Linked DNA regions of Elephas maximus indicus. The protein of the gene in region 1 purifies or fractionates together with the protein of each later gene. This does not show direct contact. Links are inferred from orthologs where the notes say so. Each region holds a gene or a part of one and is shown on either strand. Other genes may lie near its edges.

What was found.
Region 2: the proteins of UBE3A (region 1) and PSMD2 purify together in Homo sapiens (affinity purification with mass spectrometry; 4 studies listed by BioGRID and IntAct, with this or other methods). This does not show direct contact. The link is inferred for Elephas maximus indicus from reciprocal best matches to the Homo sapiens genes UBE3A and PSMD2.

What each region holds. Positions count from the first base shown.
Region 1 is NC_064831.1:101,130,621-101,138,689, forward strand, and holds the start of UBE3A (ubiquitin-protein ligase E3A), read right to left. Parts: upstream 3,007-8,069; 5' UTR 2,421-3,006; intron 1-2,420. UniProt on the Homo sapiens protein: E3 ubiquitin-protein ligase which accepts ubiquitin from an E2 ubiquitin-conjugating enzyme in the form of a thioester and transfers it to its substrates.
Region 2 is NC_064819.1:30,790,854-30,798,752, reverse strand, and holds the start of PSMD2 (26S proteasome non-ATPase regulatory subunit 2), read left to right. Parts: upstream 1-4,842; 5' UTR 4,843-4,901; coding exon 4,902-5,033; intron 5,034-5,471; coding exon 5,472-5,528; intron 5,529-6,254; coding exon 6,255-6,419; intron 6,420-7,458; coding exon 7,459-7,580; intron 7,581-7,750; coding exon 7,751-7,899. UniProt on the Homo sapiens protein: Component of the 26S proteasome, a multiprotein complex involved in the ATP-dependent degradation of ubiquitinated proteins.

The DNA of each region.
Region 1 (8,069 bases):
CATAACCAGTAATGATTTAAGAAAACAGACATCTGAAAACACCATTTCAACCCATTTGGGTTGAAAAATTCAGATATGACTCATAGTTCTAGATCACTCTACTACCTGCAAAATTGAAAGCAGGTATTTTTTTGTGGAGGAGGGCGGGGGGCTTAAAAAGAAATGACTTAAAGTTTAAGAAACACAACTATTAAAATGTTACAGATCAAAGACACTGAAGGTAGCCAATAAATCTTGTCAAGAGGGCTGGACAAGTGGGATGAGAACTGTTTTCCTCACGCCTCTGGCTAGTAAGTACTCTTGCTTGAGAAATTGTTTTTTTAGCTATGGGAAAAAAAAGTTTAGAATTTAGGAGAAAAAATAAAAGCAGCTAACAAAGCCACTAAGAGGAATCAAAACACTGTATTTTCGCTGTATATAAATAAACTCTTCAGGGAAGAGGCTATGTCCAGATGATAGTGTACCTACTACTTAACATGCTAATGACAGTTAATACTGACACAAGACTTTCATAGTTTGCATTCTAATTTTATAGCCATTATTTCTTTTTTGTTGTTTTTCTGTAATGCTTATTAGTATTTTTAAAAGAGCTTCCTGTCACCTTTAGGCCCTGTCAGCAGCATCGCTAATACTGTATTTATTTCATTAAAAATGTGATAAGCAGCTTAGACTTAAAACCAAAACCAAACCCACTACCATCGAGTCGATTACAGCTCATAGCGCCCCCACAGGACAGAGTAGAACTGCCCCACAGGGTTTCCAAAGGGCGGCTGGTAGATTCGAACTGCTGACCTTTAATTCCAAAGTTATTTCCACTAAACATACTACAACAAAACTTTACTTCTATTTCTGCTAAATTCTGAACTTTTTTCATGACTTAAAAAAATAATTTCAGTCAGAGGCGTGAGGAAAACAGCTTTATCCCACTTGCCCAGTCCACTCAACAAAATTTATTGGGTACATACAGTGTCTCTGACATGTAACATTTTAATGGTTGTATTTCTTAAACTTTAGGTCATTTCTATTTTAAGCCCTACCTACTCCCCTCCCCCCCACGTCAAAAAAAAAAAAAAATCGGCTGCTTCTCTCAATATTGCACGCAGTGGGAAGATCCAAAAACTATGGGTCATACCCATATTCTGAGGGTAACTTTGGATTGTAAATACCATATGCTATTAGTTTTGGTGCAGTGGTTAAGAGCTACGACAGCTGCTAACCAAAAGGTGGCAGTTCGAGTCCACCAGCCATTCCTTGGAAACCATATGGGATAGTTCTACTCTGTCCTGTAGGGTTGCTATGAGTCTGAATGGACTCGACAGAAACCGGGTTTGGTTTTTTGTCATGAGCCGGAATCAACTCGAGGGCGAGTTTTGGTTTGAGCCTACACATATATGGATTCTGTATTGTTTGTTTTAGCACACCTACGAGTTTTTTAAAAATTCACAGACTTGAAGTATTTTTCTAAGAGTCTAAGTTTAACTAAAGAGTCTGTATTAAACTTATCCTTAAAAGCTTTATTAACTAAACCAACGGAGCCCTGATGGCGCAGTGGTTAAGCACTCGACCGCTAACTGAAAGGTCAGCGGTTCGAACCCACCAGCCACTTCGCGGGAAAAAGATGTGGCTGTCAGCTTCCATAAAGATTACAGCCTTAGAAACCCTATGAGGCAGTTCTACTCTGTCTCATAGGGTCGCTATGACTCGGCATCGACTTGACGGCAACGGGTTTGTCTTTTATGGACTATACCACTTGGAACATTCACTTTTGGGTTTACCCACAAAAACGTCCACACCAAGATGAGGAAAGTTTCCTTTGCATTCCCTCAACTGAAATGGGGAAAGAAAGAAAGAAAAAAAAAGGCCAACTGATTAACTGCGTGCAGACCTGCATTTGACGCAGACCCTGACAACCCTATCTCACGTTCAACTTTAGAATCCCCGTGACTAGTAACACACGGGCAGTCAATGAACGCAATCCCTGGGCTTGACACATCACTTCTTCCACCCGCCTCCCCCCACCAATCCGACCCCAAAGCCCCAACTCACAAAACACATGCCTACATTATCTGTTAACTAAGAGAATCGAAACCATAGATAACGGGCCCCCCTACGATGGAAAAATCAAGGCTTCCCCAGCCCTGGGCCTTGGCCTGGTCAGTTCCGCCGCCCTGTCCGCCCGGGCCCGGGCCTGCTCCCTTCCCCTCCGGCGCTCAGCCAGAACTGACAGTTACGGCGGCAGCCAGCGCTGCCACCAGAGGCCTACTGCTGGCACCAGCCCCTCCAGACCAAGCGCCCCCACAACACTCGCCCCGGGGGAGAAGCCCGATCCTCGCCGGAGCCGGCCCGAGGAGGGGCCCAGGGGACGAGAGGCCGGGGCTCCGCTCCCCCCCCGGAGTAGGCCCCTCGGTGGAGACACTGACCTGTCGTCGCCCCCGCGCCTAGGTCGCAGCCCTTGCAGCGGCGGCCGCCTCACTGGTCGTCGTCGCCTTCGCCCGCCGCCTCCGCCCGCCACCGCCTCGTTCCCCTTCGCTGCCGCCACCGCCGGGGCTCATGCGGTACCCGCGCTTCCTTCTACAGACGCCGAGGCCGGCCAGGGGGGGCGCCGGGGTCGCCGAGGACCCCGCGCTCGTCTCCGGCCGCCGCTCCGCTGCTGCCTGTCCGAACCCGGCTGCAGAGCCCGCCTGGCCGGAGCTAGGCCGCGAGCGGGTCGGAGCGGGGACCCGAGGAGGTGCCGAGAGAGGCGCCGCCGCCCGCGGCTAAGAGCGCCGGGTCGACAGAGGTGAAGCGCAGGTTGGCGGCGGGGGCGGTGGCAGGCGCCCAGACCGGCGGCTGGCTGCGCGGCGGCGGAGTGCGCGAGCGAGCGGAGGGCGGGGTGTCAGGATCCTGGCGAAGGCGAAAGGGCCCTGTCGTCTCCCGTAGTCACCCCGAGCCCAGCGCCACCATCTTAGTAGAAACGCGGGTCTCGCGGCTGCGGCGCAAGCTGGGAGGACTAACTGGGCGGGCCAAGTATCCCGGCAGGCAGCGCGCGCCGCCTGGCGGGGCGAAGGTTCCCCGCCCCCCCTCGTCGGACCCGCCCCCCTACCGCTCGCCGTCACCGCTGGCGCAGGGGCCTTTGGGAAGGGGAGGTGGCCCGCGACTCCGCTGCGTCCCACCAGGTTCCGCCGCCATTTTGAGACTGGTTAGTGTGGAAATCGTTTCGTTTGTCAGATGCAGTCTGCGGCCCGATAGAGAGAAGGGCCTACACTCCGGAAACCCTCTCAAGTTCTTGTGGGGGTTTTACAGCCTCTCGTCTACTCAGCCCGGGAACGTGCCAGGACTTGGAGCCCTGATTTTGTTGCGGGGCGAGTCAGCTCCAACGGGCAACCATGGCGGCATGGATAGCCCCCATCTCCGAGGCAAGAGAAAGTGAAGCCTCCGATATTAGGTCTCTGACCCTAACTCCTTTCCTTCCGAGCTGTCTTTGTAAACGTTGCGGGGATGGCCTGAGAATGCGGGCCAGCGTTCAGGGCAACAAGGCCATCTATGTAGTCCTTTTGCTAACCACAGAACGTATCACTAGTTTGCAACAGACAAAAAGGTTGAAGCCTGTCTCCTGCAGTGTCGATATTCAGTAGGTTGTAGATAAAGAAGAGTGGCCTTTTGGTGGGCCCTAGTTGCTGGATAGAAGCTATCCATACAACAACTGAACCCATTTATAACACTGCCTTAATTGAGAATCACATGTAATAGCACGGTCACCATTTTATCTAAAGGGGTTTATTTGTGGCTTTGCAATACTTGATAGAACAGCTGTAGTGGAATCACAATTCATAGTCATATGGCTTGCAGCTTTGCTGATAAGCCCTTACAATACTGTATGAGAGACCCCGTTTATCCAGTATTCTGATTTTTTTATAGCAGTAATACGTAGCAGTGTATTTTTTTGTGGCATTCTTAAAAAGCATCTTTATATATGTATACATATGTGTATATAAAAGAACACCCAAACCTGTTGCTGTCAAGTTGATTCCGAGTCATAGTGACCAGACAGGGCAGAGCAGAACTGCCCCATAGGGTTTCCAAGAGTGCCTGGTGGATTTGAACTGTCGGCCTTTTTGTTAGCAGCCCTAGCTCTAAACCACTACACCACCACCACTCTCTCCACTGCCATCCAGTGGATTCAGACTCAGTGACCCTGTAGGACAGAGTAGAACTGCCCCATAGAGTTTCCAAGGAGCGCCTGGCACATTCGAACCGCTGACCTCTTGGTTAACAGCCATAGCGCTTAGCCACTAAGCCACCAGGGGTAATTAATATGAAGGGGGCTCAATGGTTAAGCACTTGGCTGTTGACCAAAAGGGCAGCAGTTTGAACCCACCAGCAGCTCTGGTTAGAAAAAACCTGGATAACCATAAAGATTACAGCCTAGGAAACCCTGTGGGGCATATAGAGTCACCACGAGGCAGAATAGACTTGATGGCACAGCAGAGCAAGGAGGGCACACCTTGGGTGCATGTGAAGTAGTGATTTATATATTGTATTTTTACCCAAATAGCCGAGGTGGTCTATGTTTGCCAACGGATCTCCCCACATATTTTTGCAAACATGCTTGCTAATTTTTTTACGACAATGTAAAATAAAAATTGATAAAGCACACTTAATACCTGGAAGGTGTGGGGGAGGCGCAGTTGGCAAATGCAAAATTCACAATGTGTTATTTGCCTTAAGGTACTGTATGAGAGGCCTCATTCATCCAGTATTCAGAATTTTTTTATAGCAGCAATCATACATAGCAGTGTATTTTTTTAAGTGGTATTCTTAAAGCGTCTTTTCTTTATATAACTCAGAACCCAACCATTTGCCATCTTGTTGATTCCTACTCATAGTGACTGTATAGGACAGAATAGAACTGCCCCATGGGATTTCCAAGGGGCGCTGGTGGTTTCTAACTGCCAACCTTTTGATTAGCAGCCTAGCTCTTAACCACTGCGCTGTTTTTTTTTAAAGATTTATATAAAGATAGCCAGAGGTAATTAAGGGAGCCTTCTGGGTGTAATGGTTAAGTGCTTGGTTGCTAACCAAAAGGTCAGCAGTTTGATCCCACCAGCAGCTCTGGGGAGAAAAGACCTGGGGATCTGCTTGCATAAGCATAAAGATTAAAAAAAACCAAACCCATTGCCGTCAAGTTGATTCTGACTCGTAGCAACCCTACTGGATGGAGCAGAACTGCCACATAGGGTTTCCAAGGAGCACCTGGTGGATTCTAACTGCCAGCATTTGTGGTTAGCAGCTGTAGCTCTTAAGCACTATGCCACCATAAAGATTACAGCCTAAGAAACCTTACAGGGCAGTTCTACGCTATCCTATAGGATCGCTATGAGTTGAACTCGATGCATAAAAATAATTCATATAAACCCCATCTAACTATAACAACTATGAAAGATTTCATCAGCTATAAAAATAAGCTAGAGAAATTTAAATTGTTCCAGGACTGTTGTTAGTTGCAACCAGTCACTTCCGACTTAAAGTGGCCCCATATGATTTTCTAGGCTGTAATCTTTAGGGAGGAGCACTGGTGGTACAGAGGTTAAAGTACTCAGCTGCTGACCTACCAAAAGGTCGGTGGTTCTAACCCACCAGCCACTGTGAGAGAGAAAGATGTGGCAGCCTGCTTACATGAAGATTTACAGACTGGGAAACCCTATGAGGCAGTTCTACTCTGTCTTATAGGGTCTCTATGAGTCAGAATTGACTCAAGGGCAGTGAGTTTGGTTTTGGGCTTTAGTCAAAATGGGATCCAGTAGTTTCTAATGATTTCCTCATTTCACTGTAAAGTATAAGGAGCAATTTTATTTTTTTAGCATAATGTACTCTTTATACAAACTTTGAGCTTCTACTGTTTATTAAGACCACTATGCCACTAGGGTTTCCTTTTGGTTTTTGGTTTATGCCAGGTCTTGAGAAACAAAAAAAGATGAAAACTCCCTATCCCTGCCTTCAAAAGCTCACAATCCAAGAGGAAGTCACATGTGTACATGGTAAAACTCTGAATACCTTTTTAGAGTAACATAACGCTTCAGGGATTATGGGAGAATCTACTAGTCTTTATCTACTAATATTAATCAAGTTTTTTTTTTTTAAATGAAACACCTTGCCTAAATTGCTAGAAAGTTTTAGTAATTTTCGACAGGGGTCTTTTGATGCTGGGATTTCTTACAGATGGGAGTCACGATAGATGAATCAGAATTTAAAAACAAGTTTATATTACCCGTCCTGGCCCTTGGGATTAGGAATAGTTTCAGTGCATGGAAGAGAAAAGGGTCAGATATGGTGGAGTGAAAGTCACTGTTGCATATATTACTCAGTAATAAAAGCTGTTTTTAGGCTGCATCAAGATATGACATACCCAGTAGCTGAGTAGTTTCCAATATTGAAGAAACATTATTGAAGCAAAATTAGCTCCATGAGGAACATTGTATGACACATGGTAAGTGTTCAATGAATGTAATGCTTTTTGTAGTATTAGTAGTAATATTAGAATTATTAGTATTACGTTCCTGGGTGGCGCAAATGGATTGCGCTCAACTACTAACCTAAAGGTTAGTGTTTCAGATCCACCTAGCCATGCCATAGAGGAAGGCCCTGGCAATCTACTTCCTTAAAGATTACAGCCAAGAAAACCCTATGGAGAAGTTCTACTTTGTAACATACGGAATTGCCATGAGTAGAAATCAACTATAAGGAAATTTTTTATTGGTTTTTATGTTATTATTTAGCATTTTATACTTCAGGTATGAGCTCCTTTATGCCCTGTCATACGCCAAAAATGGGTGTATCAATTTGGCTGGGTCATGATACCCGGTATTGTGTGATTGTCCACCATTTCATCAACTGATGTGATTTTACTATATGTTGTAAATCCTGCTTCTGTAGTGTTAATGAGAGGGATGGGCGGCAGTTGTGTTAGTGAGGCAGGACTCAATGTACAAGATTGGATTGTGTCTTGAGGCAATTTTTTTTGAGATATAAAACAGAGAAGCGAGCAGAGAGACAGGGACCTCATGCCAAGAAGAAAGCAGCACCAGGAGCAGAGTGCGTCCTTTGGGCATGGCGTCCCTGCATCTGAGAAGTTCCTTGACCATCGGAAGATTGAGGACAAGAACCTTCCTCCAGAGCCAACAGAGAGGGAAAGCCTTCCCGTGGAGCTGACACCCTGAATTTGGACTTTTAGCCTACTTTACTATGAGGAAATAAATTTCTCTTTGTTAAAGCCATCCACTTATGGTATTTTTGTTGTAGCAGCACTAGATGACTAAGACACACCTTTACCCTTATTCCTACAAGCCTATCTAAAGCTGCACTCCTCTTTACTTCATGTTTCAAAGTATGAGCCATCCATCTTCGTTGCTAAGTCTAATATCTTTTTTCTTTTTGTCTCCTCCAGACATTGCTCTCTTAGTCATTCCCTCTTCTTTCCATACATTCCCCCTTTCTACTGAATTTATCCCTTCTATTTAGAAAAGTTCTGCTGCTGTTAAGGTTTTCACTGGCTAATTCTTTTTAGAAGTAGACTGCTGGGTCCTTCTTCCTATTTTGTCTTAGTCTGGAACACTTAATTGTGCTCATGAGGAACCTTTACATAGATCAAGAGGCAGTTGTTCAGATAGGACAAGGGGATACTGAGTGGTTTAAAGTCAGGAAGGGTGTGTGTTAGGGTTGTATCCTTTCATAATACCTATTCAATCTGTATGCTGAGCAAATAATCCGAGAAGCTGGATTATATGAAGAAGAATGCAGCATCAGGATTGGACGAAGACTCATTAACAGTGTTATGCAGATGACACAACCTTGCTTGCTGAAAGTGAAGAGGACTTGAAGCACTTACTAATGAAGATCAAAGACCACAGCCTTCAGTATGGATTACACCTCAACATAAAACAAAAATCCTCACAACTGGACCAATGAGCAACATCATGATAAACAGAAAAGACAAGTTGTCAAGGATTTCATTGTACTTGGATCCACAATCAACAGCCATGGAAGCAGCAGTCAAGAAATACAAAAGACACAGTGCATTGGGCAAATCTGCT
Region 2 (7,899 bases), on another chromosome or scaffold:
AACTTTATAATGTTTTAAGAGGAGGATTCATGGGCTTGGCAAATTCCAGAACCTGAAGAGAGATTAAGAATTAAGACTTCTGAAGTTTGGGTGTTACACAGAGGATGGGATTTAAAATGCCAGAGGGCATTTATGACTGAGCAAAGGGGCTTGCTTGGCAGGATAAGCCTTACCCTTCCCTTGACACTGATTTCAGGGGCCAGCTTAGCCATACCCCCCACTCGCCATTTGACACCAATGTGGTCTTCAAGCTCCATATTTGTAAAAAGGTCAAGAGGTCAAAAACCAAACCCATTGCTGTTGAGTCAATTCTGACTCATACTGACCCTACAGGATGGAGTAGAACTGCCCCATAGAGTTTCCAAGGAGCACATGGCGGATTTGAACTGTTGACCTTTTTTGAGTAGCTATAGCTCTTAACTGCTATGCCATCAGGGTTTCCAAGATGTCAAATAATGCTAAGCATAAAATAAGGAGCAGCAACTTTCACTCACTGAGTCCCAGTTTTGCTTAAGCCTGTGCTAAAAAAAAAAAAAAAATTGTGCTAAGTACTTTAAAAATAATATTCTCATAAAATTCCCACAACAACTTATAAGTAAGTTCTATTGATGTCTCCATTTTACATGGGACAGAACTAACAAAAAAGGTTACCAAACTTCCAGTGTCAGGACTGATTCATTAAAGTCAGGTTTGGAACTCACGTCCAAATGCTTTTAATTGCCATCGCTCAGTCTTCTGACTCTTGACAGACTTTGGGCTCAAGCATAGACATCTGTCTTTGGGGAAATTGCACCAGCTTCTGAGTAGGACTGCCACCAACAAGCGCACTACCGTGCCACATAGCTCCCTTGGGCCACGCACTTGTGACAACCAGGCAGCTGCAGAAAACCTAAGCCCATTTGGAGCTGAAATTAAGCCAGGTAACCTGTTGCCATTGAGTTGATTTGGACTCATAGCGACCCTGTAAGACAGAGTAGTACTATCCCATAGGGTTAGCAGGTGGCACCTGTTGATTGAGGACTCTGAGCATGCATGGTTCCAGGAGCAAGGCAAGGTGAACATCAGGTGAGAGATGCAACCTTCACCTTCAGAAGCCCTCACAGGCTGATGAATTTTCATCAGCGAAATGCTCCAGTGTGCTGAGGCAGAAGGGGGAACGAAGGATGGTGGTCCTGGATGGACACATGTGAACAACTGTACAGTGCTAGGCCATACCCTGCCCTGTCCCTTGAGGAAATTTCACTAAGTCTCATGCAAGATAAAGTGACATATGCCGAGCAGTGTCATTCTATCCTTGGCAGCACTCTGGAAATGTTAGGCTGGAACAGTCCCCCATGAAGTCAGCACAGGTTCAGTGGGTCTGTCCTGGCTCACCAATCCTGAAGACAATTCCCCAGTGCTCAGCTGTGGACTCCAAAGAGTGCCCCTGATAGGTTATTATTACACAAAGATGACCTAAAGATGAATGCAAAGCCACTCATTCATTCATCCAACAAGTATTTGTTGAGGCCTACCACAAACCAAGCATCATGATGGATGCTAAAGCACAACGATGAATAAGACACAGTTCCTGTCCTCCAGGAGCTCAGCATCTAGGGCAGGAGAACTACCTACCAAGTACAGTAGGAGTCCCCTGGGTGACACAAATGGTTAAGCGAGGCACTACTAACAGAAAGGCTGGCGGTTCAAACCTACCAAGAGGCTCCTTAGAAATAAGGCCTGGTAATCTGCTTCCAAAAGGTTACAGCCTTGAAATTCCTATGGAACAGTTCTGCTCTGCATACTTGGGGTCCTTGTGAGTTGGAATTGACTTGAAGGCAACTAACAACAACAATATGGTGGGAGCAGAGAAGAAATGACCAACTTGGTCTGACAGGGAAGGAAAAGCTTCCTAGATAGGTGTCATTGAGTTGGAGCTTAGAGGACAGGAGAATTTGCTATCTGAAAACAGCAAAGGGCATTCCATACAGAAGGAACAGCAATGTGAAAAGTTGGATCAGCTTCGAAGGCAGGGCATGTTCAGAAACAGTCAAATGTTTAGGATGATCAGAAGGAGGGTGAGTCAAAGAGGCATGTTGAAAGCTGAGAGTCTTGAAAAGGGTAGTAGGTGCAGGTATGAAAAAGAGGAGACCGTAACATGCTCTCAGTTCTGAGAATTGACAGTAAGAAGGGCTACAGTACAATCTGACTAAAAAATACCACACTAAAGAAACCCAATGGAAACAGTGTGTCTTAGTTATCTAGTGCTGCTATAACAGAAATACCACATTTGGGTAGCCTTAACAAACAGAAATTTATTTTCTCACAGTTTAGAAAGCTAGAAGTCCATATTCAGGGCATTGGCTCTAGGGGAAGGCTTTCTTTCTCTGTCAGCTCTGGGGGAAGGTCTTTGTCTCTTCAGCTTCTGCTTCCTGGTTCCTTGGAGTGCTCCACGTGGCTTGGCATCTATCTTCCCCCATGTCAGCTTGCTCCTTTTATATCTTGTAAGGGATTGACTCAAAACACATCTTATATTAATCATGCTCCATTAACATAACTAAGACAACCCATTCCTAAATGAGATTATAATTACAGGCATAGACATTAGGATATATAACACAGATTTTTGTGGAACACAATTCATAACATGCAGATTTGAGGTAGTTGGAAAATACAATGACAACCAGCCTCCTATCTAACTGCCAGGCACCCAGCTACGTACTTTAAAAAAAAACCAAACCTGTTGCCATCCAGTCGATTCTGACTTATAGTGACCCTATGGGGCAGAGTAGAACTGCCCTATAGGGTTTCCAGAGAGCTGCTGGTGGATTCGAACTACCGACCTTTCAGTTCTCAGCCAAGCGTTTAACCACTGCGCCACGTTCACCAAGACCCCACTTTGTATACATTGTCTCATTTTTTTTTTTATAATTTATCACCCACATTTTACAGAGACAAAAACCACGCTCAGAGAGGCTAGGTAATTTGCCTAAGTCTCACAGTTGGTGAATGGCAGAATTTGGTTTTAAACACTAGGTCTGTTTGTCTCTAAACTTCTGTTTCCCTCTCTATGCCCAATTTTTTATTTTGAAACATTTCAAAACTACAGAAAAGTTGAAACATAGTACAAGAAACATTCATATAATCTTCATCTGGTTTCACCAACTGTTAACAGCCTGTGCTTTTTGCTACAACATCACCCCCCTCTTCTAGAGGGTGCTGGTTGGGAAATGACTGGTACATAGGATAAAATCCAAGGTCTGATAGAAGTCATGGAAAAAGGAGTTACTTAAGAGAAATCCTTCTACAGATGACTGAAGAATGCATAATAATGTATAGACATCTGGAAGCCAGAGCTGGAATAGGCAGAAGAGCTATGAGTTGCCCAACTTCTGTCAACAGACCAGGGCTGGGGGAGTCATTGCCAATAGAAATGGAAGATCATCTCTAAAGCCCAAACACTGAAGGGAAAACAGCAAAATGGATTTCAAACCCTTATATCTAAATCTATATAGGTGTTTGGCCAACACCCATTTAGTGCTATTTTTTTTTTTTTATCCTGTGCTAGGTGTTTTTGTTTTTTTCAAACATTTTCTGTGTTCTTCAATGCATCCAAAAATAAACAAAAACCAAACCTGTTGCCATCGAGTCAATTCTGACTCATAGTGACCCCACAGGACAGGGTAGAACTGCCCCATAGAGTTTCCAAGGAGTGGCTGGTGGATTTGAACTGCAGACCTTCTGGTTAGCAGCTGAGCTCTTAACCACTGCACCACCAGGGCTCCTTTAATTCATCAGAATCCAAAAAATAAGACTCCAGGTTAAATGGTGAGTGCTCCTACCAGATGAAGAGTTATTTCTTTTTTTCTCAACTTCTAGACCACACACATGGCCCACACATGGCCAAGCTGAAGAAGAAACTTTGGGGTTTGCCTGAAGCAGTCAAGGGCTCGGAGGATAGAAGGATCAAAGTTCAAATCCTGATCTTACTACTTATTACATGACGTCTGATTGTTACTATATTTCTGAGCCTTAGTTTCCTCTGTAAAATGGACACAACTGTATCAATCTCAAAAGTTTATGAGAACTACACGTGATCACTTAAAAGTACTCCTGATAGTGTCAGTTACACCCCTTCCAAGTCACAATAAGGAGGAGGGAAACCACACGCCAGACTGAGAACAAAGACCTTGTCTTGCTCCGCTTTTAGCTCCAGAACTTGGCAGTGCAGCATAGGATTTTTATAGATTTCTTCTTCACCCCAATACCAAAAACCAAACCCTTTGCCGTCGAGTCAACCCTGACTCATAGCCATCCTATAGGACAGAGTAGAGCTGCCCCATAGTTTCCAAGGAGCGCCTCGTTAGCACACTCTCCTTCAACTGGGGGCTAGACATATACTACAGAAACTTTACATATATGACAATCAAGGGTCCCCGATTTCAAAATCTTGGCTGCTTGTCGGACCACGCAGTCAAGTGCGGTGTCACTGTCTGGACTATTTATACTGCTAAAAGGAAACCTAACGGCAAGGAAATCTCGGTAGCCTACACCCCGGCGTCCAGGGAGCTCCGAGGGCCGGATTCGGGCCACATCCTCGGCGCGGGGGATGCTGGGGATGGTAGTTTTTCATCTGGCTTCCGGGGGCGGGGTCAGAGGGATGGCGCTCGCCGTCACGTTTCCGGTCGCAGGCGTGCTCGGGAGGAGGATGAGCACCGAGGCTCCCCGCGGTGTTTCCGGTCGGAGGCGGGCTCTGGAGGAGGAGGAGATCCTAGGTTCGCGTTGCGTTTCCGGTCGCTCGCGAGTCTGGAGGAGGAGCACATCGGCCGACGCGCGCGAGGCCTCCTGGGAGATGGGGGCGGTGCGAGCGGGTGCGCGCGCAGTGGGCCGGCGGCGGCGGTGGCAGGTCTGGCTGGTGAGCGATGGAGGAGGGTGGCCGGGACAAGGGGCCGTTGCCCCAGCAGCCCCCAGTGACAACTCCAGGCAGCGCGGACGAGAAGCAGAGCGGCAAGGAGCGGCGGGATGCTGGGGACAAGGACAAAGAGCAGGAGCTGGTGAGGCACGGCTCCGGGAGCCAGCCGAGGAGGCCACGGGCTGAGTCACGGCGGCCCCGCAGGCCTCGGGCCCTACTCCCAACGGCCCCGCGGCGCCCTGGAGAGGGCGGATGGGGCGACCCTCGGGGCTCTTGGCCCCCCGCTCTCTGCCCCACCTCCCCCACCCCGCGCTGTCATCTCTGCGGTCCCCGCCAGCCCTCGCGACCGCCCCGCGAGCTGGGGTCGGGCGGGTCACTGTCGCCCACATTTCAGAGAACGGCGTTCAGACAGCCTGGCCCAGAAGCCAAGGTGCCTTCCCACCAGGTTTCCCCGTTCCCGCTCTTCTGGTCCACCTGGTCCCTCCTGAGGCGGCAGGCTCTCACCACCTGTCCCAGGGTGAATGGGAGGAGGATGATTGGGATTGCTTGTGTTGATGAGCTTCTTCCCCCAACCCTGCAGTCTGAGGAGGACAGACAACTTCAGGATGAACTGGAGATGCTCGTGGAGCGACTGGGGGTGAGTCAGGACGTTATCCTGAGCGGGTGAGGGCGTTAGGATCTTCCCCATTTGTCTGCTTTTTTCCATTTGAGGCCATAGCTGATATGTGAAGTGTGAGGAAAAGTAGACTGTATTTCAGGGTGATTGTTGTGATGATGGAGCCCTGGTGGTGCAGTGGTTAAGAGCTTGGCTGCTAACCAAAAGGTTGGCAGTTCAGACCCACCAGCCGCTCCTTGGAAACCCTATGGAGCAGTTCCGCTCTATTCTATAGGGTTGCTGTGAGTCGGGATCAACCTGATGGCAGTGAGTTTGGTCTGGTTGGTTGTGATAGTGTTGTGAGGGGAAGAATTGCAAATAATACATGAAAAATTATGTAGTTTTGTCTTGTCGGAGAAGTAGAGCCGTTGAGCTCTTAACTGGGGTCATTTGTGTTTCTGTGAGGGCACTGTGCAGGGAGTTGGGGAATCAAAGATAAATGAGATAGTTACTTTTTTAGAAGAGTTGTAATTTCACATCTCCATGTTATGACTTGGGGAGCCCTGGCGGTACAGTGGTTAAGAGCTCAGGGGCTGACTAAAAGGTCAGCAGTTCGAATCTACCAGCCACTCCTTGGAAACCGTGTAGGGCAGTTCTCTGTCCTTTGTGGGTTGCTATAAGTTGGAATCGACTCGACGGCAACGCGTTTATTATGTCTTGGAGAGATGTGAATCCTCTTTGTCTGAATCCTAACGTATCCTGAATCAGGAGAAGGACACGTCCTTATACCGACCAGCTCTGGAAGAGCTGAGAAGGCAGATTCGTTCCTCTACAACATCTATGACTTCAGTGCCCAAGCCTCTAAAATTTCTGCGTCCACACTATGGCAAACTGAAGGAAATCTATGAGAACATGGACCCTGGAGAGAATAAGGTAAAACTATCTCAGAAGCTGGTGGAGGTCTAGTTTAGGAATTCTTTTATCTAGGCTTTGGGGCTCATGATTAACACTGGAAGCCTGATAGACTAAGACCTGGGTTAGTTAACAAAGCTCATCACAGCCAAAATACCCCCAAGAGAGCTGAAAGAGGAGAATAAATTTTTCATTAGACACTTTCTGTCATTTATGTTGGACCCTGAGGCTTCATTAGTATGACTTAGTTGTTATGTTTAAGTTTGTTCTTTTTTTAATTTCCTTTATATCGCATATCCATCCATTTACTCTAGCTCAAAATATACTCTCAGTTCAAACACTTCTCCACATGTTGGTACAACCATAATCCAGGAAACCTTCCAGTTCTTACCTGAACCACTGCAACAGCCTCCTAAATGGCCTTTGTCCTTGACCTCCTACCAGGGCTTCAAACCAGTTCTTTTCAGGTTCAAACCACTGCTGAGAATTTGCATTTCCAACAGGATCCCTGGTGATGCTGATGCAGCTGGTCAGGGACCAGTTCTGACAACCACTAGTAGAGCAGTGGTTCACAAAGTTTATTGTGCGTAAGAATCACCTGAGGATCTTGTTAAACTGTAGATTCTGATTTGGTATATCTGGGGTAGAAGTTCAGATTCTCAGCTGGGGTTTGAACCAGAACAAACCAGTTTCAACTTTCTGCTTCCTGCAGTCTATTATATAGGAACCATAAGTGATCCTTCTAGATTTGTGTGTCTTCTGCTTAAGACTCTCTAATAGATTATTATTGCAATTAGACTGAAATTCAGAGTCCTGGCTTTCTCCACTCTCACCCTTGTTTCCCACCCTTTAGCCATGTTGGTTTAGAAACAAGATAGTGACACCAGCCTTAGGTCGTTGTGAGGCTTAGCTTAGATAACATGTAAGTTTGTAGTACAGAGATTGGTATGTGGCTAATACTGAATTTTGGAGGCAGTGACAGTGATCTGGATTGCATAATGTCATGCTCCCCTTCCCTTGGACCATTGGATTTGACCTCAAAGGACTGGTCTCTCTGCAGCGTTTTGCAGCTGACATCATCTCCGTTCTGGCCATGACCATGAGTGGGGAGCGTGAGTGCCTCAAGTATCGGCTTGTGGGCTCCCAGGAGGAATTGGCATCGTGGGGTCATGAGTACGTCAGGTAAGGCCTTTTCTTCTGAGGAGTGTGAGGGAGGGGACAGTCTGAGGTAGAGTTGTGATTCTGCCATGGAGTACCAGCGTACCCGGAGTTTCCCAGAACACTGAATTCCTTGCCACACAGGGAAGGACTTCCCGTGCTCTGCTCCTTTAATGGTCTGGGCCTGTTTGTAGGCATCTGGCGGGAGAAGTGGCAAAGGAGTGGCAGGAGCTGGATGAGGCAGAGAAGGCGCAGCGGGAGCCACTGCTGACCCTGGTGAAGGAGATCGTCCCCTACAACATGGCCCACAATGCAGAGCACGAGGCCTGTGATTTACTTATGG